Lonchura striata: one gene and its partner. Each later gene encodes a partner of the first gene's protein in a complex. Links are inferred from orthologs where the notes say so. Each region holds a gene or a part of one and is shown in the gene's direction. Other genes may lie near its edges.

Region 1 (11,819 bases):
TAAATATGCAGCTGCCAGGAAACATAAAGACTGTCTCTTGTTTTAATTGTATGCTTTTCCTAAGTTACCTGAAATGAACGTCCAGTCCATGTGCTCACAGTACCATATCTCTCCTGTCCACTTTCCTGAACAACGCTAACTCTTCTCTTAAAATTCAGCCCTGCTGCATGAGAATGCTAACCCATACAGATGAAATGACACATTTGGCAACCTAAGCCAGGGTGTAGGGTGGGCTGGTTTTGTAAAAAAAAAAAAAAGTAGTACATAAAAAAATAATAAGTAGAAGAGATACAGCTCCCTTCCACATTTTTCTGACTCTGAACTGTTTTCCGATGTGAAGATTTTAGCCAGGTCCACCACCTGATCACAGAGCTATGGATTTTGAACCTAAAAGAGACAGAACATGTATGAAGCATTATACATCTCTCCTTCCCTGTTCCTCCCTGTTTCTCCCCCTAAGCTCTTTAGACAGCATTAATTTACTGTGGGATTGATCCATCTATCTGTGTTCCAGTTAGCAGGGCTTCTAAGAAGGTTGTGTTGTGCTTATGTTAAGACCTCTGGACTTCTGGGTCAGAGCTGACCAGATCATAATAAACCTAGAGGGCAAGCAAGGCATGCAGTGGTTAAATTTGGGTATTACTTTAGAATCCTGTACTTAGGAGTCAAATTTAGGGTTGTGAATGTTACACATTTGCAGCCCTTATTTGAGCAATAGAGTATCCATAATGTGTCATAATTACTGAAGGAAAGATGACCAATAACAGAGTAATGAAATAAAAATTAATGCAGTAGTAAATAAAGCAATAATAAAAAGTTTACAATATAATAAAAGATGAAAACATAATAAAAATTAATTCCACAGAAACTGGTAAACTTTTGCAGGTCCTATCTCACATACATGAATGTGACAAACAATTATTTTACCCTCCCTTACTCAGAAAAAGCTCAGAGAATATCTTACATTTCAAGAAATGTGCCCACTTGCTACAAAAAGCTTAAAGTTTATAACCCTTTTACCAAAGTCCTCATGAAAAAAAAAAATCCTCTCAATTTTCTATGAATTAAAAAGGTTTTTAAAAGGTTTTAGGTAAATGTCTTAAGCTAAGATAGTTTCAAACTTCATTTCCTGAACAATGAAAAGGGAAGCAAATATTTAAATCCAAAGAAAGAAACTGGATCTGAAAGAGGTCACAAAACTCATGCCCATAACCAGATTTATATTAACTTCACATGATTTTCAAATTATTGTTTCAAAAAGTGTAGTGATATATGTATCACCTTCAACTCAGATTTTCATGTACAATCATTCTATGACTGCTCAATATTTCATAATTTAATCTAAACTGATCCAACAGTAAAGGGTAGAAAAAGAATACACAGTAAGCGCTGCTTACTGTTCATTGGCATAGAGAGACCTTTTCAGATGTGAAGTTACCAGAATCCAAGGGAATGGCCTGAAGTTGTGTCAAGAGAGGTTCAGCCTGGATATTAGAAAAAGGTTTTTCACCCAGAGGGTGGTTGGGCAGCCTGACAGAGTTCAAGCAGCAATTGGACAATGCTCTTGGGCACATTGTGTGACTCTTGGGTATGGTCCTGTGCAGGGCCAGGAGTTGGACTTGATCCTTGAGGGTCCCTTCCAACTCAGCTTGTTCTGTGATTCTGTGAAAATAATATTCACTACAAGTTGTTGCACATTCATTATACTGAAGCTTTTTCATAATAGCCTATTATTTTCCCCAAACATCCTGGGGATACAACATTTAAAGATATTTCACACTGGGAAATTTCACTTTTCCCCCTCATTTTTATTCCCCTTTTTTTTTTTTTTTTTTTTTTTTTAATCAAAAGAGGGAACAATTTCCAGTTATTTAATTAATGACTTATGGTACTTCTTAATGTATAAAGCTATTTTGAAAAATAACTTTAAAGCATACTTATTTTGAAAAGCCTCATTTTTTTCTCAGATCTCCAGCTCAAGTATACTTGAACTCCAGTGGTTTTTCTTCAAATCTCTCTCCTGTGAACAGCTTGGGATGGAAAGCAAAAATGGTTTCTTTCATGCTCTTCCATCATCGCCAGTAATAATGATCTAAGATTAAATTATGCCCTTCCTTGTTGATTCAAATACTCTGGGATAAAAAGCTTTACTTACAATTTCCTTTGCCTTGTTTTGTATATTTAAAGTACACTATGTCATACTTACAGAGCCAAATTCATTTATTCCTTAGCAATCCAGTGAAGCTCATGGAAGTATTCTGCAATTCCCAGGCATAGCTCTGCCTTACAAGCATTTAAAGTCTCTCTTGAAAGCACAGAATTAGACAAGCTGGTAACACTTGAGATGCATGTGTTATTTTCAAATAAAATACTTTCTTCTATCTTTTCTTGTTACCATGATGAAAATAATGAAAATTGTACTATAGGGTAGAAAGGAAGGGACCATTTCTGTGTAAGAGGTTGCCCTCTTCCTTCCTTTCATATTACTATATTCTTTAAAAAAACAAGGTAATAAACCAAGAGCAAGCCCATATCATATGGGTTTTTGAACAATTATCATTTTAACCCTATCATGTGTCAGTATATTATGCCTGATGTAACTTTTAAGAGGATACTAGTCAGCAGAGATATCTGCATTTGTAGGAGATTAAAACTTTTATTCCAACAGACATCTTGGAAGTATAAACCATGAGAAAGGGAATATTTTGCCTGACAAGTGGAGTGTAAACATAAGCCCCCTTTCCCTTTGAAATAACTCTTTTCACTTTGTCTTGTTCTTCCCAATCACCTCTGTGGAGGGAAAGGGAAAGTGTTTTATTTACCTGTTTTATAAAAATCTGAGTTTGGCTGGAACCTTGACAGAGAATATATTAGAACTGACTGACTGACTTCACTGGATTCAAATCATCAGTAAACCTTGCAACACAATAGCTTCATAAATTGTTTGGGGTGTTTTACAAGAGAAATAGTTCAAAAGCAACAGAAGACATCACACTAAAATTTAAGAATCAAGCCTAATATAGTCTAGAGCCCACTGGTAAAGTACCATCAGGTAAGCATTTCCCCCCTTGGCTTTTTAATATAACACAGTTTCAGTTCCGAAAAGCCTGCTTATCCTAGTTCCACTAGGAAAATGAAGAGTCACTCCACTAAGTTAATTATAATTACATTAGACAAGTCCTTCAATATTCTTAAACAAGAAAAAAATGTATCAAATAATTATGAAGTTATAATGAATCAGCTTTGAAAAGACCTCTGAGATCATTGAGTCCAACCTATGACCTAGCACCACTGTGTCAACTTGACCATGGCACTGAGCGTCAAATCCAGTCCTTTCTTAAACACCTCCAGGGACAGTGACCACCATCTCCCTGGGCAGCCCATTCCAGTGACTAATCACCCTTTCTGTGAAGAAATTATTCCTAAGATTCAACCTAAACCTCCCCAATAACAGCTTAAGACTGTGTCCTCTGGCCCTGTCCATTGTTACCTGGGAGAAGAGCCCAAACCCCACTTGGCTACATCCTCCTTTCAGGGAATTGTAGAGTGACTAGATCTCCTCAGCTCTCTCGGCCTCTCCCCATAGCACTTGTATTCCAGACCCTTCCTCATCTCCATAGCCTTTCTCTGGACTCACTCCAGCACCTCAATGTCCTTCCTGAACTGGAACTGGCCTCAGCACCAAGGTGTGGCTTCACCAGTGCCAAGAATAGGAGGACAATCCCTGCCCTGGTCCTGCTGGCCATGCTACTGCTGATCCAGGCCAGGTGTCATTGGCCTTCCTGGCTGCCTGGACACACCTGGCTCGTGTTCAGCTGCTGTCACCAGCACCCCCAGGTCCTTTTCCACTTGACCACATTCTGCTACTTGCATTTTGGACTCTTGTGTTTCCTCATTTCTTTTCCCCAGATAGTTTAAATAGCATGTCAACATAATCATGGTTTTTATGATGACTCAGCTGAATTATGAGATACCCTTTTTGTAGATTTGAACACTATCCAGAAAGAGTTGACAGCACCAAATTGCTCTAGATGATACATCCTTGGTTTTAGAAATATTTCTGTTTTAAGCAGTGTAAAAATATTTATGGAATGCAGGATTTAAAAAATGTTTTCAGACACAAAGTCAAAAGAAAAAGGATAGAAATATAATTTCTGAATTACAAATACCAAAAAAAAAAAAAAAAGCCCAAACCAAATTACATAAGGTTTGAATCATATCAAAAGATGTGGAAGAAGTTAATAGATTCAATTTCCCTTTGATAATGTGAGACAGAAAATACTTTCTTATGATTTCCTAGTGATTATTTACTTCTAACAATTCAAGGAATGTTGGATTCCACTGTCATTTTCACAATAAGATAAATGACAACCAATTATGTAAACAGAATCCATCAGATAAAATTTCCTCACTATTTAGGAATTATGAAATCAAAAGACTTAGCCCAAGCAAGATACATTCCTGTTGATTTATTTAGGATAATCTAGATAATTCTAGCCAAATGGATTTTATTTCATTAACCAAGCTAGCAATCTTAAGTACACTGGTGCTAAGAATATTAAGTACAGAATTTCCAGAAGGGAAGAACTTCACTAGGTTAGAGGACTTCAGCCTCAAGCCTGTTCTATGTCAAAAATGAAATTTGGCCTAGAGGTACTATGCTTTGTATAATTCCTCAGTCAGGTGTCTGTGCAAGAGTTCAAAATAAACTCACATTTCCTGTTATTCAGTTAAGACTGGCTAAGACTGTTTTGTCATGAAAGTTTAAATATATTTTAGAAAAATTTTACCAAGAGGGTGAGTATCTCACTAGATGATACAGCCAATGCAGTAATCCTCAGCACAGTGTATGTTTCACTGAGGGAATTTAAAAGAGATTTCCTGGTATTTTGCCTTGGCACAGTATTGTTTTAAGTCTTATGGTCTTTCTCTCCCCCAGCTAGTTGTTGACACCTTTTCTCTCATTACTGTACCTGTTTCTTTCAGACATCAACTAAAACCAAGCACTGCATGGGGCCTTGGATGCTTTAGCATTTTGTAGTGCTGAGGGTCTTCCACTGGCAGCTCTGTAATCTGACCGTCATAAGGAGAAACCAGTGAAAAGTTTGAACAGGTCTTGGTGAAATCCACACTGTTATTATGGGAAAAATAATACAGGAGGATAGTTTTCACCATTAGAGATTATCTATGCCATCAGTGATATGTAGGTATCAAAGTGAAGAGTATCTACAACTACTATGAAATAAATTAGGTTGTCTTGCAGGTAAAAAGGGATTCTTTCTCACAGATGATGTTCTGAGAAGAGTATTACTAATACAAAATTACACATATCACAGACTTATATGAACAATTGAGTGTCATGTAAAGAATTACTTAATTCATACTGCATACTTTTTTCCCCTTACAGAGCACCATTAAGATGTAATGAAATCCTACCTCTAAAAATCAGCCTGTCACATCCTTAATTCTATAGTTTTACATCTTTATGTTAAGGTGGGGAGAACATCACTAGCTGCCTGAATAATGGCTTAATAACTGTTATGACCTTCTTATTCCTCACCTCCCATATACATTTAAAACAAACCATCCAAGTCTAAAATTAACCTGTACTACAACTATACTAACTTGCTATTCCACATGAACAGCTCCTGTAGACATAGTCTGTAGTTATGTGAATTGCTAAAAAAATTACTATATCTCTGCTCATGAAAGGAAAAGTTTCCTCATGACAAAGGTTTTAATCATGCTTTATGAGATGAGGCTTGACTTACTGAACACAACTGTGTGTCCTGACAAAAATCACTAGAAAATTTATGGTGTAACAGGAAAAGACACCTTTTATCTTTCTGGTGAATTAACATGATAAATCACAGAATCATTTAGCTCAGGAAAGACCTCTAAGATCTAGTCCACCATTAAGCCATGTCCCTAAGTGCCACATCCAGACATTTTCTAAATACCTTCAGGGATGGGGACTCAAGCACTTCTCTGGGCAGCCAGTGCCAATTCTTCTACCATGACTACAAGTAATATGCAAGTTATTGGCAATATTACTGATTCTTCCATTTCTGTAGCTAAACGCAGCAATACATTCCTGCACTTGCTTGGAGTTCCCTGTGTAAGCCATTGTCCAGTAGCTCCCCAGCCTTTTTCCATCTCATCTGGCACAGCCTCCCCATGGAGAGCTTGGAAAGATGGCCAACATGGACCAACCCTTAACAACCTTTTCACTGGGTGGGAGCCAAGGTCAGCTTAGACCCCTTTTCAGATTCTCATGACCAGATTAGATCGAGATCAAGTCAAGCTGACACTCGACGCACAAAGCGTGTGGGCTGGACTGACAGCCCACAGTGCTTTCAGGAGATGTTCGCCCTCCAGGGATCGCACTCTGCCCCAGAGAGCCCGAGCTGTCCCCCAGCACTGGCTCAGCTCGGTGCCGCAGCCCCGCACGGGTGAGGGGGGAGGGGGAGAGGGAAGGGAAGGGAAGGGAAGGGAAGGGAAGGGAAGGGAAGGGAAGGGAAGGGAAGGGAAGGAGCCGCGCCCACCGCGCCCATCCCCGGCTGCTCGCCGCGGCCCTCGGCGCGCAGGCGCCGGCTCCCCGCCGCTGGGGGCGGGGCCGCGCAGGCGCAGTGCCCGCAAGAGCCGCGCCGCGCCTCCGCCTTTCCTCTCTCCCGGCTCCAAGATGGCGGAGTACGACCTGACCACCAGGATCGCGCACTTCTTGGACCGGCACTTGGTCTTCCCGCTGCTGGAATTCCTCTCTGTCAAGGAGGTGTGTGTTTCTCCTGAGGCTGAGGAAGCCGGCTGCGGGAGCGGGAAAGTGGCAGGCCGTGCTGCCAGCTGCCGGTGCTTCCCGCGGGCCGGGGCGCGCCGCGGCCGGGGCTTCCTCCCGCGGGCCGGGGCGCTGCTCGGGCGGGGCGCGGCCCGTGGGGGTTCGGAGCCTCCGCAGGAGGAGCTCGAGGCTCCTGTGCCGCGTGAGTCGAGGGTGAAGCGTGTGGGGCTGCCCGGGAAAGGACGAGCAGGGAGCAAAGCCCACAGGAGGCCTGAGGGAGCCGCTCCTCGATCACGCCGCGCAGCTCCTCGGCCCCTCGCTTGCGAGGCAGCACCGACTTCCTACGCTTTTTCCTTCCTCGGATTTAGTGTAGTGTCTGTCCCTCACCTATATGCGGAGAAAGGAGAAGTCAAAGCTCTCCCTTGCAGCCGCAGCCCCACGGCGTGGGACACCCTCGATAGCCCCGCGGCTCTTGGTGCTCGGGCCGTCCCTCTGCGGTCTGTGGGGTTACGCCAATGATACTAATTTTCTTTTGAAACCCATGTCATTCCGAATTTATGTTGGAAACAAATATAAGTCCCTTCTGGAATTATCCCTTATTGGTCTTCTTATGTATATTTTTAAGTTATACTGTTACACGGAACCTAGTTATGCTGGGGATAGCTCAGACGAGTGCTTCACATACTTTTGAATAAACTTTCATCCATCTAAACTATTTTAAAGTGGGAGAAGAATGCGTAAAGTTATATAAGTTTTGAATTTAAAGTAGGTCTTATTTTTAGCCTTCAGAAAGGAACTGATGAACCACACTCGTGCATTGAGACACCTTGACCTAGGAAGCTGTCAGGTCTAGCATGTGGAGTTTGCTTAATGTCTGTCATCTTGGGGGCATTTTTATGGTAGCTGAAGTTAATTAAATAGTTTATTTTGTGGTGTTAGTTTTTAACAGTACAATGTTCATAGCTGAATTAAACTTCTACAGATTCTGTATCTGCAATGTGGTGAGTTGTAATGCAGCTCTTGTGCAAATATGTTTTTGAGGAATATACTGGGTTTGGCCGTCACCTACATCTTCAAAATCTAACAGCAGTTTGTAGCTCACTGATAAATTATGGAGTATGAACGTTAGAAAACAATTTGAAAAGTTTTAAGTACGCTATTCGATTACATACTCTAAATTTGTTTTTATGCTATAGACCTAGCAACATATTTTAGGTTAATCTGCACTACAGTTAAATTGTGAGTTTAATCTTGTGCATCTTTTCTGAGATTCACTTTAGATAATTTAACTAGTCCTCACTGTTCAGCATTTTATTTTGTGGAAAGTATTCAGTACTTTGAAAGAAAGGTATGGTTAAAGATTTTTTTTATTTTTTAAATTTGTATGTAATTTTGCAATAGGAATTACTATTCCTGTTAAGAGACGAGTAATACTTACTTGACTTCTAATTAGCTTTTGAAGTACCTGCTTTCGTAGATAGCAGGAAATATTTGGTATTTTGTCAAGACTGTAAATGCAGAGAGGCTTTATGGAAAGTACTCTTAATTATAGAGCAGTGAAATTTGTTACTTAATTCAATTGTACAGAAGTCCATAAACTGTGCCATCAAAGTAATACATAATATGAATTGAAACTCCTCAACACTATTCAGATTACTCTGTTAATAATGCCTGTTTCAGATATACAATGAAAAAGAGCTGCTCCAAGGAAAACTGGATCTCCTTAGTGATACCAACATGGTGGATTTTGCTATGGATGTGTACAAAAATCTTTATTCCGATGAAATTCCTCATGGTAAGCTGCTCATTTAGATGTAAATCTTGTTTTTCAACCTTTCTGTCAAAAATAAATAACTAGTGGTAATTGCTTGTTGCATTCAAAAACTAGGGTACTATTTAACTTTGTCATTATCAAAAAGATACTGAGACAAGCAGAATGCCCTAATCCTGGGAAGTTTGGTTTTGTTGGTCTGTCAGGAACTTGACCTTTGAGTGACCTCATAAGTATTTCAATGCTGATTTGGTAATTTCAAGAACTTTAGAGGTGTTGTGCTGCAACTAATGGAGTTGCAGTAGCTTTTCATCTGTCAAACACTTGAACAATGATTTGGTGACTTTTTCTTTAAAGCATCCAGTATGTTAAGATTAGAGTTGCATTGTCTAAGTAATTCCATTGATTTGTCTGTCTGTGGCTGATTTTTAGGTCTTGAGAGAGAGAGATTTTTTTTTGAAAGTGTGTGTTTTCCTCAGTTTTGGCAATATAAGACTTGCTTCCCTAGGACAAAATATATTTAAACTTATAATGAAGGTGATGTCTTACTATCTTATCCGTGATTTTGATAACTACTCTGTTTGCTACTTAAATTTCTGTAATTTTGAGGAACATTTGGGAATGGGGAGAAAATAGATTATATACCTTTATCTAATTTCCATTCTTCATGGGTGTTTTGATTTTAAGAGTTTTCTCCCAGTTCTTTTTTATAATGGGTTGGGTGTTTCATTTTATTCATTTCTTCCTGACCTAGTCTTCCAATATCCACTGTCTTCCTATTTTTCCACCTTTTTTCCATGTTGGTGAATGCCTCATATTTTTTTAGGTATTGGGACTACAGTCTATTTTGCTGCATCTTAGGAATAAGAGACTTGGGTGCTGCTGCATTTTTCCTCTGGGTCTTGCTCTTTTCAGGCTCTTGAAGCTGCAGAGATGGCCACTCACCTCTCTGGAAGAAGAGAATTGATAGGCTTATGGACATGGGAGTCAATGTTTTGGCCAAGTCTGTGCTAGTGTTGGGTGGCTGTTGTTATGGGCATGAGTGCCAGCACTGTTATAGCCATGTGTACTGTGACACATGGGACTTTAACATGTAATGAGAACCAGAGGGTTTCACTTCTGTAACTAAAGAAACACTTGTGGTAATAGCTTTACCTTTAGGTTACTTAGCAGTCCTACTGATTAAAAAAGTCAGGCTGTATCAAGGCTATAACAAAAATCACAGAGCTGAATAGATATTCCTCTTTCTTTGCCTGCTTCAGCCTTTTTAAACTGTTGAATATTACTGTTATCAGTAATAATTAAGGAGTAAAATACTAAAGAAGTAAGCAATACAAGAAATAGTAATTTTAGCAGACTTCCACAAAATAACTACTCCAGATGTCTTCAGAATTCTGATTGTAGCCAGTTAGTAAAGCAGATTACCTTAGGGTATAACTTCATAAGGTCACAGCTGCAAGAAAGTTGAATTAACTTGCTCACTTGGAGACCTCTTCCTTCATCAAATACCAGCAATTTCCACACTTGTTTGAAAAGAGTATAAGAAAAACTACCTTTCAAGATTTTACATCATCAGTTTGGCAGGTTGTTTTTTTTTTGTTTTTTTTTTTTTTTTTTTTGTATAATGACTTACTGTTGTTTGATGTGTGGCTTTTATTCAGTTAACATAAGCAGAGCTAGTTCTTTGACACATTGTTCAGGGTGTTTGATTGCACAGCTTTCTATGCAAAGACCTGAGATCTTTCTGGTATGTGTATCATCTTGTATCAGTGCTTATCAGAATGCGTGTGTGGACTGGTGGTTCTTACTCGTGGAACTGCTGGCATCATTAGAAGTTTACCCTTTTTAAGATTTCACTATTTAAAGTACTCAAAGCTAAGTTCACTTACACAGTTATAATTGGAAATATCCCTGCATGAATTAGAGTTCCTTTTGTCTTGTCTTCCATGAGATCGACTTAAAATTACACACCCAGGAGATGTCACAGGAAAACATTTTTGTATTCATAGTAAGTCAACTGAATGTTTTTTCTTTTATCTGTTTCTTCTTCCTCTTTTATAATCTCAAGAGTCAACTAAAGGTGGAGGTAATTTCTCCTTACTGAAACACTTCCTGTCAGGCAAGTTGTTCTCATATTTAGGTTGGGTCACCATTATGGTGTTAACCACCTTGGATGTCCCGTTCAAATATCTGTGTAGTCAAATCATTAAAGAACTGTTGACTCTGTTTACTGTGGCATTGAGTGTTCTGGTGTGTGGCTCACCTTTGGAGTTTCCTGCATTTATCTCCTGGGATTTAGTCTTGGCTTCTCTGATCCTGTGTGTTTTACATAGCCAATGTCAGGGTGATTTTTTGTGTATTTTTTTTAAATATATACACTTTTTTGGATTTTAAGTCTTCATTTTATTGCATTGCTGTCACTTGGTAAGGAATTTGGGGTCTGTGCAAAACAATCACCCTAAAACTTAGTTGAATTTCCTAACAGTTTTTCATCAAGGGCTTAATGTTTCCATTAAGGACACAGCGTTCAAAATCATAATTTTGCAGGTTGAGCTGCTTGAAATTTTTCTTGTTCCTTTTTAGTTAAGTATTCTCTAAATGTTCTTTCAGAACCTGATCATCAGTAAGAAGAAAATCTATCTTTGTATATCATTGGATTGTTTCGTTTTTTGCGAGTTTATTTGGATTAAGTGAACTTAGTTAAAGGTTGCTTCTCCCTTAGTGGAAGCCTGAAGATACCTCATGTAATACAGACTTTGCTCCAGCTGTACCTGCTCTCTGGTGGCCTCCACACAGGAGAAAGAGCCAAATGTTAGAAGTTTTTACTAAGTTACAGAATTGTTATACACAGCTGGATTTGAAGCTTGACTGAGAGGACAGGTCACGTAGGAATTGCAAAGATGTGTTGAAGTGTCAGCACCATGTAATTACAGGGTGGTTCATGTAAAAACTTAAAGCATTATATTAAAGTATTTTTGTTTGTGTTCAGCTTTGCGTGAGAAAAGAACAACTGTTGTTGCACAGCTGAAGCAGCTTCAAGCTGAAACAGAACCTATTGTCAAGATGTTTGAGGATCCAGAGACTACGAGGCAAATGCAGTCCACTAGGTAATTTCTAACGTAATTTGTTGGGATGGCTTGTTGGTACCTCTCAAGTGCTGCTGCTGAGAATGCTTTCTGTGTAGTAACTGCAAGAAAAACATTTTTATTTTCATACAGTATTTAAGTAGGGCTTGTGGTCAGGTAAGTGAAATTGCTGGACACAGTTTGCTCTTTT
Region 2 (11,961 bases), on another chromosome or scaffold:
GGAATTCCAAATTGGGAATTGCGAGTTGGGAATTCCGCATTGGGAATTCCAATTTGGGAATTGTGAGTTGGGAATTCCGCATTGGGAATTGCAAATTGGGAATTGCAAGTCGGGAATTCTGAGATGGGAATTGCGAGTTGGGAATTGCGAGTCAGGAATTCTGAGATGGGAATTGCGAGTTGGGAATGCCGCGTTGGGAATTCCGCGTTGGGAATGGCGAGTTGGGAATCCCGTGCCCGCAGGACGTACTCGGGCCCGTTCCGCACCATCACGGTGCGGGACACGATGTCGGACCTGCCGGAGATCCGGAACGGCGCCTCGGCGCTGGAGATCTCCTACAACGGCGAGCCCCAGTCGTGGTTCCAGCGCCAGATCCGCGGCTCCCAGTACCAGCCCATCCTCAGGGATCACATCTGCAAGGTGGGAACGGCACCCGGAGCCGCCGGATCCCGCCGGAGCCGCCCAAATCCGGGATGGGGGAGCTGCTGGGAACTGCCGGGAATGGTGGGGCTTTGGGAATGGCGGATTTGGGAATGGGCGAGGTGCTGGGAATGGTGGATTTGGGAATGGGCGAGGTGCTGGGAATGGTGGAGGTTTGGGAATGGCGGATTTGGGAATGGGCGAGGTGCCGGGAATGGTGGGGCTTTGGGAATGGTGGATTTGGGAATGGGGGAGGTGCTGGGAATGGTGGATTTGGGAATGGCGGATTTGGGAATGGGGGAGGTACCGGGAATGGTGGATTTGGGAATGGCGGATTTGGGAATGGTGGAAGTGCTGGGAATGGTGGAGATTTTGGGAATGGTGGAGGTGTTGGGAATGGTGGAAGTGTTGGGAATGGTGGATTTGGGAATGGTGGGGATTTTGGGAATGGTGAATTTGGGAATGGTGGAGGTGCTGGGAATGGTGAATTTGGGGATGGTGGAGGCATTGGGAACGGTGGTTTTGGTAGTGGTGGGGATTTTGGGAATGCTGGATTTGGGAATGGTGGGGACTTTGGGAACGGTGGTTTTGGTGGTGGGGATTTTGGGAGTGCTGGATTTGGGACCGGTGGGGATTTTGGGAACGGTGGTTTTGGTGGTGGGGATTTTGGGAATGGTGGTTTTGGGACCGGTGGGGATTTTGGGAATGCTGGATTTGGGAGCGGTGGGGATTTTGGGAGTGCTGGATTTGGGAGCGGTGGGGATTTTGGGAATGCTGGATTTGGGAACGGTGGGGATTTTGGGAACGGTGGTTTTGGTGGTGGGGATTTTGGGAATGGTGGTTTTGGGAACGGTGGGGATTTTGGGAACGGTGGTTTTGGTAGTGGTGGGGATTTTGGGAACGGTGGTTTTGGTGGTGGGGATTTTGGGAATGCTGGCTTTGGGACCGGTGGGGATTTTGGGAATGCTGGATTTGGGAACGGTGGGGATTTTGGGAACGATGGTTTTGGTGGTGGGAATTTTGGGAATGCTGGAATTGGGACCGGTGGGGATTTTGGGAATGGTGGTTTTGGTGGTGGGGATTTTGGGAATGGTGGTTTTGGGAATGGTGGGGATTTTGGGAATGCTGGCTTTGGGAGCGCTGGACGTCGCGGGCCCCGGCGGCGGTGCCCAACGCGGCCCGTTGTCGCCGGCGGCGGCAGGACATGAGCGCGCTGGTGGCGGCGCGGATGCGGCACATCCCGCTGGCGCCCGGCTCCGACTGGCGGGACCTGCCCAACATCGAGGTGCGGCTCTCGGACGGCACCACCACCCGCAAGCTGCGCTACACCCACCACGAGCGCAAGAACGGCCGCAGCAGCGCCGGCGCCCTGCGCGGCGTCTGCTCCTGCGCCGAAGGTGGGTGGTGGACCTCCGGAAACACGTCCCCGGCCCGGCGGGCGCGGCCGTTCTCCCGGAAATTCCCGGGGTTTGGTTTTTGGTGGTGTTTTGGTGTTTCCCAGGGAAGCCGTGCGACCCGGCCGACCGGCAGTTCAACACCCTCATCCCGTGGTGCCTCCCGCACACCGGCAACCGGCACAACCACTGGGCCGGCCTCTACGGGCGCCTGGAGTGGGACGGCTTCTTCAGCACCACCGTCACCAACCCCGAGCCCATGGGCAAGCAGGTGGGGGCGGGGGGCCGCGGGCACGGCCGGCGGGGGGTGTTGGTGGGGGTCACCGGTGGCCACCGCGCCCCAGCCTTCGATGGTGGCCAACGGTCGTCGGTGTCCCAACGGTTGGGCGGGTTGCTTGGTGGCGACCGATGGCCACCGTGGCCCCGTGGTTGGGTTTGATGGTCTCCAATGGCCACCACGTTGGGTGTGGTGGTCAGTGGTGGCCACCATGTTGGGTGTGATGGTCTCCAGTGGCCACCACGTTGGGTGCGGTGGTCTCTGGTGGTCACCACATTGGGTGTGGTGGTCTCCAGTGGCCACCATGTTGGGTGTGGTGATCTCCAGCATCCACCATGTTGGGTGTGATGTTCTCCAATGTCCACCATGTTGGTGTGGTGGTCTCTGGTGGCCACCACGTTGGGTGTGGTGGTTTTTAGTGGCCACCATGTTGATGTGGTGGTCAGTGGTGGCCAGCATGTTGTGTTGGTGGTCAGTGGTGGCCAGCACATTGGGTTTGGCGCACCGTGGTGGCCAGCACGTTGGGTTGGCGCTCAGTGATGGTGGCCACCACGTTGGGTTAGTGATGCATGGTGCCCACCATGTTGGTGGGTTGGCGCTCCGTGGTGGCCAGCATGTTGGTGTGGTGGCCACCACATTGGGTGTGATGGTCTCCAGTGGCCACCACGTTGGGTTTGGTGGTCCATGGTGGCCACCACGTTGGGTTTGGCGGTCAGTGGTGGCCACCACGTTTGGTTTGGTGGTCAGTGGTGGCCAGAACGTTGGTGTGGTGCCCACCCCGTTGGGTTTGGCGGTCAGTGGTGGCCAGAACGTTGGTGTGGTGCCCACCCCGTTGGGTTTGGTGGTCCGTGGTGCCCACCCCGTTGGGTTTGGCGGTCAGTGGTGGCCAGAACGTTGGTGTGGTGGCCACCCCGTTGGGTTTGGTGGTCTGTGGTGCCCACCCCGTTGGGTTTGGCGGTCAGTGGTGGCCAGAACGTTGGTGTGGTGGCCACCACGTTGGGTTTGGTGGTCCATGGTGGCCACCCCGTCGGGTTGGTGCCGTTGCAGGGCCGCGTGCTGCACCCCGAGCAGCACCGCGTGGTCAGCGTGCGCGAGTGCGCTCGCTCCCAGGGCTTCCCCGACACCTTCCGGCTCTTCGGGAACATCCTGGACAAGCACAGACAGGTGGGTGGCACCGGCACCGCGGTGGCACCGACACGGTGTCCCCTTGTCCCCTTTGTCCCTTTGGGCACCGACTTCTTGTCCCTTTGTCACTTTGTCCCATTCTCCATTGTCCTCTTGTCCCTTTGTCCTATTGTCCTTTTGTCCCATTGTCCATTGTCCCTTTGTCCATTGTCCCTTTGTCCATTGTCCAATTGTCCATTGTCCCATTGTCCATTGTCCCATTGTCCCATTGTCCCATTGTCCCATTGTCCCATTGTCCATTGTCCCTTTGTCCATTGTCCAATTGTCCATTGTCCCATTGTCCCATTGTCCCTTTGTCACTTTGTCCCTTCTTCCATTGTCCCATTGTCCATTGTCCGTTTGTCCCTTTGTCCCAATGTCCTCTTTTCACTTTGTCCCAATGTCCCCCTGTCCCCCTGTCCCCATGTCCCATGTCCCTCTGTCCTTCTGTCTGTCCCTCTGTCTGTCCCTTTGTCTGTCCCCTGTCCCCTGTCCCATGTCTCTCTGTCTGTCCCTCATCCCCATGTCCCTCTGTCTGTCCCCTGTCCCCATGTCCCTCTGTCTGTCCCCATGTCCCTCTGTCTGTCCCTCTGTCTGTCCCCTGTCCCTCTGTCTGTCCCTCTGTCTGTCCCTCTGTCTGTCCCTCTGTCTGTCCCATGTCCCTCTGTCTGTCCCTCTGTCTGTCCCTCATCCCCATGGCCCTCTGTCTGTCCCCTGTCCCCATGTCCCTCTGTCTGTCCCCATGTCCCTCTGTCTGTCCCTCTGTCTGTCCCATGTCCCTCTGTCTGTCCCCTGTCCCTCTGTCTGTCCCTCTGTCTGTCCCCTGTCCCTCTGTCTGTCCCCATGTCCCTCTGTCTGTCCCTCTGTCTGTCCCCTGTCCCCATGTCCCTCTGTCTGTCCCCATGTCCCTCTGTCTGTCCCTCTGTCTGTCCCCTGTCCCCATGTCCCTCTGTCTGTCCGTCTGTCCCCAGGTGGGCAATGCGGTGCCGCCTCCCCTGGCCAAGGCCATCGGGCTGGAGATCAAGGCCTGCGCTGTGGCCAAAGCGCGCCAGGACACGGCCGGTGAGTGACCCTGAGTGACCAGAGTGACCCTGAGTGACCAATGAGTGACCCTGAGTGACCAATGAGTGACCACTGAGTGACCACTGAGTGACTGCTGAGTGACCAGAGTGACCACTGAGTGACCCTGAGTGACCCTGAGTGACCAATGAGTGACCACTGAGTGACCACTGAGTGACTGCTGAGTGACCAGAGTGACCACTGAGTGACCCTGAGTGACCCTGAGTGACCACTGAGTGACCAGAGTGACCACTGAGTGACCCTGAGTGACCAGAGTGACCAATGAGTGACCAGAGTGACAAGAGTGACCACTGAGTGACTGCTGAGTGACCAGAGTGACCACTGAGTGACCCTGAGTGACCCTGAGTGACCCTGAGTGACCAGAGTGACCAATGAGTGACCCTGAGTGACCCTGAGTGACCCTGAGTGACCCTGAGTGACCAGAGTGACCACTGAGTGACCCTGAGTGACCCTGAGTGACCCTGAGTGACCAGAGTGACCACTGAGTGACCCTGAGTGACCCTGAGTGACCCTGAGTGACCAGAGTGACCAATGAGTGACCGCTGAGTGACTCTGAGTGACCAGAGTGACCAATGAGTGACCAGAGTGACCATGAGTGACCCTGAGTGACCAGAGTGACCAATGAGTGACCCTGAGTGACCCCGGGTGACCACTGAGTGACAGCTCAGTGACCATCCCATTGTGTCCCCATGGTGTCCCTACTGTCCCCTGGGTGTCCCTGTGTCCCCTCACCATCCCTGTCCCCTGGGTGTCCCCGGGTGTCCCCTGGGTGTCCCTGTGTCCCCTGGGTGTCCCCTCTGTCCCCTCACTGTCCCTGTCCCCTGGGTGTCCCCTGGGTGTCCCCTCACCATCCCCGTGTCCCCTCACTGTCCCCGTGTCCCCTCACTGTCCCAGTGTCCCCTCACTGTCCCTGTCCCCTGGGTGTCCCTGTGTCCCCTGGGTGTCCCCATGTCCCCTCACCATCCCTGTCCCCTGGGTGTCCCCTGGGTGTCCCCTGGGTGTCCCCTCACCATCCCCGTGTCCCCTCACTGTCCCAGTGTCCCCTCACTGTCCCTGTCCCCTGGGTGTCCCTGTGTCCCCTGGGTGTCCCTGTGTCCCCTGGGTGTCCCCATGTCCCCTCAGTGTCCCCATGTCCCCTCAGTGTCCCCGTGTCCCGCAGGTCTCGCCGCGGTCCTGGTGCCTCCGGAGCCGTCGGGAGCGGCCGCCTGAGCCCGGCCGGAGCCGGGGGGGCCGGGGGGGCCTCGGCTCCGGGGCTGCTTCGCCTTCGCCTCTGCTTTCAGTTGCCTTTTGGTCTTTTTTCCCTTTTTTCCCCTTTTTTGATTTATTTCCCCTTTTTTCTTTTTTTTTTTTCCTCCTTTTCTCTCATTTTTTTTCCCTATTTTTTCTTGTTTGTTCTCTTTCTTCCCTCCCTTGTTTTTCCCCCTTCTTTCTATCCCTTTTTTTCTTTCCCCTTTTTCCTCTTTATTTTCCTTTTTTCTCCTCTTTTTAAAGATTTTTTTAACCCCTTATTTTCCTCTTCATTTTTTCTTCCTTTTCCCTTTTTTTAATTCCTAGATTTTTTTTTCTGGCTTTTCATCTCCTCCTTTCTAAAACGCTTTTAATTTCCCCAATCCGCCTTTCGTTTCTCTTTGTTTCTTTTTATTTTAATTCCTCTCCCTCCACTCTCTCTGTGCTGCTCCAACCTCCCCTTCCCCCCCTCAGGGCCCGGCCCCGCTGCCCCGTTTTTATCGCATTGTACCGAACCCCCCCGCGGCCGCTTTGTACAAGGTGGAACTCGATACTTTATGTAGTTTTTATATGTTGTAATATTTCTTCAAATAAATCGCGCCTATAAGTTATAACCAACTCTCGCCCCGCGCTCCGAGCAGGCCGCGGCCGCCATGGCGCCGTTGCTCGGCAACCGCTTCCCGCCCTGCCCCGCCGGAAGTGACGCGCGCGGGCCGGAAGTGGCGCTTGGCGCTTCCCGCCCTGCCCCGCCGGAAGTGGCGCGCGGGGGGCCGGAAGTGCCGCGCGGCCTTTCCGGTGTGGCGGCGTGAGGGAGGCGGAGGCGATGCCGGCCGGGGACTACGAGTGAGGGGGAGCGGGGACGGGAACGGGAACCGGGAACGGGGGCGGGGATTGAGGAGCGGGAACCGGGAACGGGGAACGGGAATGGGGACCGGGACCGGAACCGGGAGTGCGAATCGGAACCGGGAACAGGAATCGGGATTGGGATCGGGAATCGGGAACCGTAACCGGGATCGGGATCTGGGATCGTGAACCGGGACCGGGATTGGAACCGGCAGTGGGAATCGGAACCGGGATCAGGAGTTGGGATCGGGAACCGGGCTTGGGAATGGGAACCGGGAGTGGGGACCGGGAACGGGACTGGGAATTGGGACCGGGAACGGGACTGGGAATTGGGACCGGGAACGGGAGTGGGAATTGGGAGGTGGGACCGAGAACCGGGAGTGGGAACGGGGACGGGAATGGGGACCGGGAACGGGAACCGGGAGTGACAGCTGGAAACGGGACTGGGAATTGGGATCGGGAACCGGGATCGGGAATGGGAACCGGGAGTGACGGCCGGCACCGGGAACCGGGAGCGGGAACCGGGAGCGGGAACCGGGAGTGACGGCCGGCACCGGGAACCGGGCACGGGGCCTGCGGGGGGGTCCCGGGAGGGTCCCGGGGGGTCCTGGGGGCTTCGGGCAGGGCCGGGGCCGTGAGGGGGAGGCGACAGAGGGGACAGGGACACCCAAGGGTGGCACAGGTGGGGACAGGGGCACCCAAGGGTGGCACAGGTGGGGACAGGGGCACCCAAGGGTGGCACAGGTGACAGCCAGGGTGGCACAGGAGGGGACAGGGACACCCAAGGGTGGCACCGGGGTGGCACAGGGACACGGGGGTGGCACAGGAGGGGACAGGGGCACCCAAGGGTGGCACCGGAGGGGACAGGGGCACCCAAGGGTGGCACCGGGGTGGCACAGGGACATGGGGGTGGCACAGGAGGGGACAGGGGCACCCAAGGGTGGCACAGGTGGGGACAGGGGCACCCAAGGGTGGCACCGGGGTGGCACAGGAGGGGACAGGGGCACCCAAGGGTGGCACAGGTGACAGCCAGGGTGGCACAGGAGGGGACAGGGGCACCCAAGGGTGGCACCGGGGTGGCACAGGGACACGGGGGTGGCACAGGAGGGGACAGGGGCACCCAAGGGTGGCACAGGTGGGGACAGGGGCACCCAAGGGTGGCACTGGGTTGGCACAGGGACACGGGGGTGGCACAGGAGGGGACAGGGGCACCCAAGGGTGGCACAGGTGCCAGCCGAGGCCGTTGTGTCCCCACAGCTCCAAGCCCAGCTGGGCTGACCAGGTGGAGGAGGAGGGAGGAGAGGATGGTGAGTGGCACCTGGCACACCTGTGACACCTGGCACACCTGTGGGGGTGGCACCTGGCACACCTGTGACACCTGGCACACCTGTGACACCTGGCACACCTGTGGGGGTGGCACCAGTCACACCTGTGACACTTGTCACACCTGTGGGGGGTGGCACTGGCACACCTGTGACATCTGGCACACCTGTGGGGGGTGGCACCGTCACACCTGTGACACCTGGCACACCTGTGGCACCGGTCACACCTGTGGTACCTGGCACACCTGTGACATCTGGCACACCTGTGGGGGGTGGCACCGTCACACCTGTGACACCTGGCACACCTGTGGCACCGGTCACACCTGTGGTACCTGGCACACCTGTGACACCTGGCACACCTGTGGGGGGTGGCACCGTCACACCTGTGACACCTGGCACACCTGTGGCACCGGTCACACCTGTGGTACCTGGCACACCTGTGACACCTGGCACACCTGTGGGGGGTGGCACCGGTCACACCTGTGGTACCTGGCACACCTGTGGGGCTGGCACCAGCACACCTGGCAGGGCACACCTGGCACGGATGCCACCTGGGACATCTCTGGGGGGTGGCACTCAAGGTATCTGTCACACCTGTGGCACCTGGCATGCCTGGCACACCTGTCATACCTGGCACACCTGTGGCACCTGGCACACCTGTGATACCTGTGGCACCTGGCACGTCTGTCAAACCTGGCACACCTGTCGGGGTGGCACCTGTGTCCTTGGGGACAAAGAGCTGTGCCAGGGGCTGGGGGGACTGGTCCAGGTGAGAGGGGTCACCTGTGCCCGGGTGAGCTCAGGTGAGGTTACCTGTGCCCAGGTGAGGTTACCTGTGCCCCAGGTGAGCCCAGGTGAGGTTACCTGTGCCCCAGGTGAGCTCCCTGTGCCCGGGTGAGCCCAGGTGAGGTTACCTGTGACCAGGTGAGCTCCCTGTGCCCGGGTGAGCCCAGGTGAGGTTACCTGTGCCCAGGTGAGGTCACCGTGCCCGGTGCCCACCTGAGCCCCCTTACCTGTCCAGACAAGGTGATCACCAGCGAGCTGCTGAAGGATCTGCCCCTGCCCGGGGTCCTGGGGGGCGCCTCCAGCGCCGAGGCCGAGCTGCTCAAGGGAGGTGAGAGGGCACCGCTGGCACCGCTGGCACACCTGGAGGGGAGGGACACACCTGGGGACACACCTGGATGGGAGGGACACACCTGGGCACACACCTGGATGGGAGGGACACACCTGGGGACACACCTGGGCACACACCTGGGCACACCTGGATGGGAGGGACACACCTGGGCACAGCTGGATGGGAGGGACACACCTGGGCACACACCTGGGCACACACCTGGATGGGAGGGACACACCTGGGTACACACCTGGGCACACACCTGGATGGGAGGGACACACCTGGGGACACACCTGGGCACACACCTGGGCACACCTGGATGGGAGTGACACACCTGGGCACAGCTGGATGGGAGGGACACACCTGGGCACACACCTGGAGGGGAGGGACACACCTGGGCACACCTGGATGGGAGGGACACACCTGGGCACACACCTGGGCACACACCTGGATGGGAGGGACACATCTGGGCACACACCTGGAGGGGAGGGACACACCTGGGCACACACCTGGAGGGGAGGGACACACCTGGGGGCACCTGGGGATACACCTGGATGGGAGGGACACACCTGGGGGCACCTGGGGAGCCCTGGGGGCACACCTGGGCACACCTGGATGGGAGGGACACACCTGGGGGTACACCTGGATGGGAGGGACACACCTGGGGGCACCTGGGGAGCCCTGGGGGCACACCTGGGCACACCTGGATGGGACGCACACACCTGGGCACACCTGGATGGGAGGGACACACCTGGGCACACACCTGGGCACACCTGGATGGGAGGGACACACCTGGGCACACCTGGATGGGAGTGACACACCTGGGCACACACCTGGATGGGAGGGACACACCTGGGGATACACCTGGATGGGAGGAACTCACCTGGGCACACCTGGATGGGAGGGACTCACCTGGGCACACCTGGGGAGCCCTGGGGGCACACCTGGGCACACCTGGATGGGAGGGACACACCTGGGCACACCTGGGGAGCCCTGGGGGCACACCTGGGCTCACCTGGGCACACCTGTCCCCCCCAGGGCCCCTCCCGTCCCCCAAGGAGGTCGTCAACGGCAACATCAAAACCATCACCGAGTACCGCGAGGAGGAGGACGGGCGCAAGGTCAAGGTGGGCACGGGGGCACAGGTGGGCACAGGTGGGCACAGGTGGCACCTGAGCCACAAATGTGGCAGCTGAACCCAAATTTTGGCACCTCTGAGCCCCAAATTCGGCACCTGAGCCCCAAATTCGGCACCTCTGGACCCCAAATTTGGCGCCTCTGGACCCCAAATTCGGCACCTGAGCCCCAAATTTGGGTTTTTGGGGCTCAGGTCCTCCAGGAATTCCCAAATTTGGGTTTTTCGGGGTCAGGTGCTCCAAGAATTCCCAAATTTGGGTTTTTTGGGCTGAGGTCCTCCAGGAATTCCCAAATTTGGGTTTTTGGGCTCAGGTGCTCCAGGAATTCCCAAATTTGGGTTTTTTGGGCTGAGGTCCTCCAGGAATTCCCAAATTTGGGTTTTTTGGGGTCAGGTCCTCCAGGAATTCCCAAATTTGGGTTTTTTGGGCTCAGGTGCTCCAGGAATTCCCAAATTTGGGTTTTTGGGCTCAGGTGCTCCAAGAATTCCCAAATTTGGGTTTTTTGGGCTCAGGTGCTCCGGGAATTCCCAAATTTGGGTTTTTTGGGCTCAGGTGCTCCAGGAATTCCCAAATTTGGGTTTTTTGGGCTCAGGTGCTCCGGGAATTCCCGAATTTGTCCCCTGAGGGCCCCAGGTTTGGGGTTTTTGGGATTTCCCGGCCCCATTCCCGCGTTTTTCCCAGATCATCCGAACGTTCCGGATCGAGACCCGCAAAGCCTCCAAGGCCGTGGCCCGGCGCAAGGTCAGGGGAAAATGGGATTTTCCTGGAAAAATGGGATTTACCTGGGAAAAAATAGAGAAAAAATGGGATTTACCTGGGGAAAAATGGGAAAAGAATGAGATTTACCTGGGGAAAAATGGGATTTACCTGGGGAAAAGGGAAAAAATGGGATTTACCTGGGAAAAATGGGATTTACCTGGGAAAAAATAGGGAAAGAATGGGATTTACCTGGAAAATGGGATTTACCTGGGGAAAAGGGAAAAAATGGCATTTACCTGGAAAAAATGGGAAAAAAATGGCATTTACCTGGAAATGGGAAATGGGATCCACCTATGAAAAAAATGGGATTTACCTGGGGAAAAATGGGAATAAATTGGATTTACCTGGAGAAAATGGGATTTACCTGGGAAAAATGGGATTTACCTGGAAAAAAATGGGAAAAAATGGAATTTACCTGGGAAAAATTGGATTTACCTGGGATAAAATGGGATTTACCTGGGGAAAACGGGATTTACCTGGGAAAAAATGAAAAAATGGGGTTTACCTGGAAATGGGATTTACCTGGAAAAATGGGAAAAAAATGGGATTTACCTGGGAAATAAATGAGATTTACCTGGGCAATAAATGGGAAAAATTGGGATTTACCTGGAAAATGGGATTTACCTGGAAAATGGGATTTACCTGGAAAATAAATGGGATTTACCTGGAAAATGGGATTTACTTGGAAAATAAATGGGATTAACCTGGGGAAAAACGGGAATAAATTGGATTTCCCTGGGAGACGGGATCGGGACCGAGGCGTTCCCACGGGCGCATTTCGGAATTTCCCGGGATTTTGGGATTTCCCCTCTCCCAGAACTGGAAGAAATTTGGGAATTCCGAGTTCGACGCCCCCGGGCCCAACGTGGCCACGACGACCGTGAGCGACGACGTCTTCATGACCTTCATCACCAGCAAGGAGGTAGGGACAGCTGTGCCCAGGTGTGCCCAGGGGTGCCCAGGTGTGCCCAGGGGTGACCAGGGGTGACCAGGTGTACCCAGGTGTACCCAGGGGTGACCAGGTGTGCCCCCAGTATGTCCAGGTGTGCCTAGGTGTGCCCCCAGGTGTACCCAGGTGTGCCCAGGGGTGACCCAGGGGTGCCCAGGTGTCCCCAAATGTACCCAGGTGTGCCCAGGGGTGACCCAAATGTACCCGGGTGTGCCCCAGGTGTGCCCAGGGATGCCCAGGTGTGCCCCCAGGTGTGCCCCCAGGTGTGCCCCCAGG

Evidence for each region.
Region 2: EIF3E (region 1) and EIF3G share a complex: the UniProt entries of both Homo sapiens proteins name them as parts of the eukaryotic translation initiation factor 3 (eIF-3) complex. The link is inferred for Lonchura striata from reciprocal best matches to the Homo sapiens genes EIF3E and EIF3G.

What each region holds. Positions count from the first base shown.
Region 1 is NC_134603.1:18,475,305-18,487,123, forward strand, and holds the start of EIF3E (eukaryotic translation initiation factor 3 subunit E), read left to right. Parts: upstream 1-6,625; 5' UTR 6,626-6,682; coding exon 6,683-6,772; intron 6,773-8,452; coding exon 8,453-8,567; intron 8,568-11,532; coding exon 11,533-11,650; intron 11,651-11,819. UniProt on the Homo sapiens protein: Component of the eukaryotic translation initiation factor 3 (eIF-3) complex, which is required for several steps in the initiation of protein synthesis.
Region 2 is NC_134623.1:1,634,697-1,646,657, forward strand, and holds the start of EIF3G (eukaryotic translation initiation factor 3 subunit G), read left to right. Parts: upstream 1-6,313; 5' UTR 6,314-6,385; coding exon 6,386-6,405; intron 6,406-7,662; coding exon 7,663-7,712; intron 7,713-8,748; coding exon 8,749-8,841; intron 8,842-9,879; coding exon 9,880-9,968; intron 9,969-10,658; coding exon 10,659-10,718; intron 10,719-11,553; coding exon 11,554-11,658; intron 11,659-11,961. UniProt on the Homo sapiens protein: RNA-binding component of the eukaryotic translation initiation factor 3 (eIF-3) complex, which is required for several steps in the initiation of protein synthesis.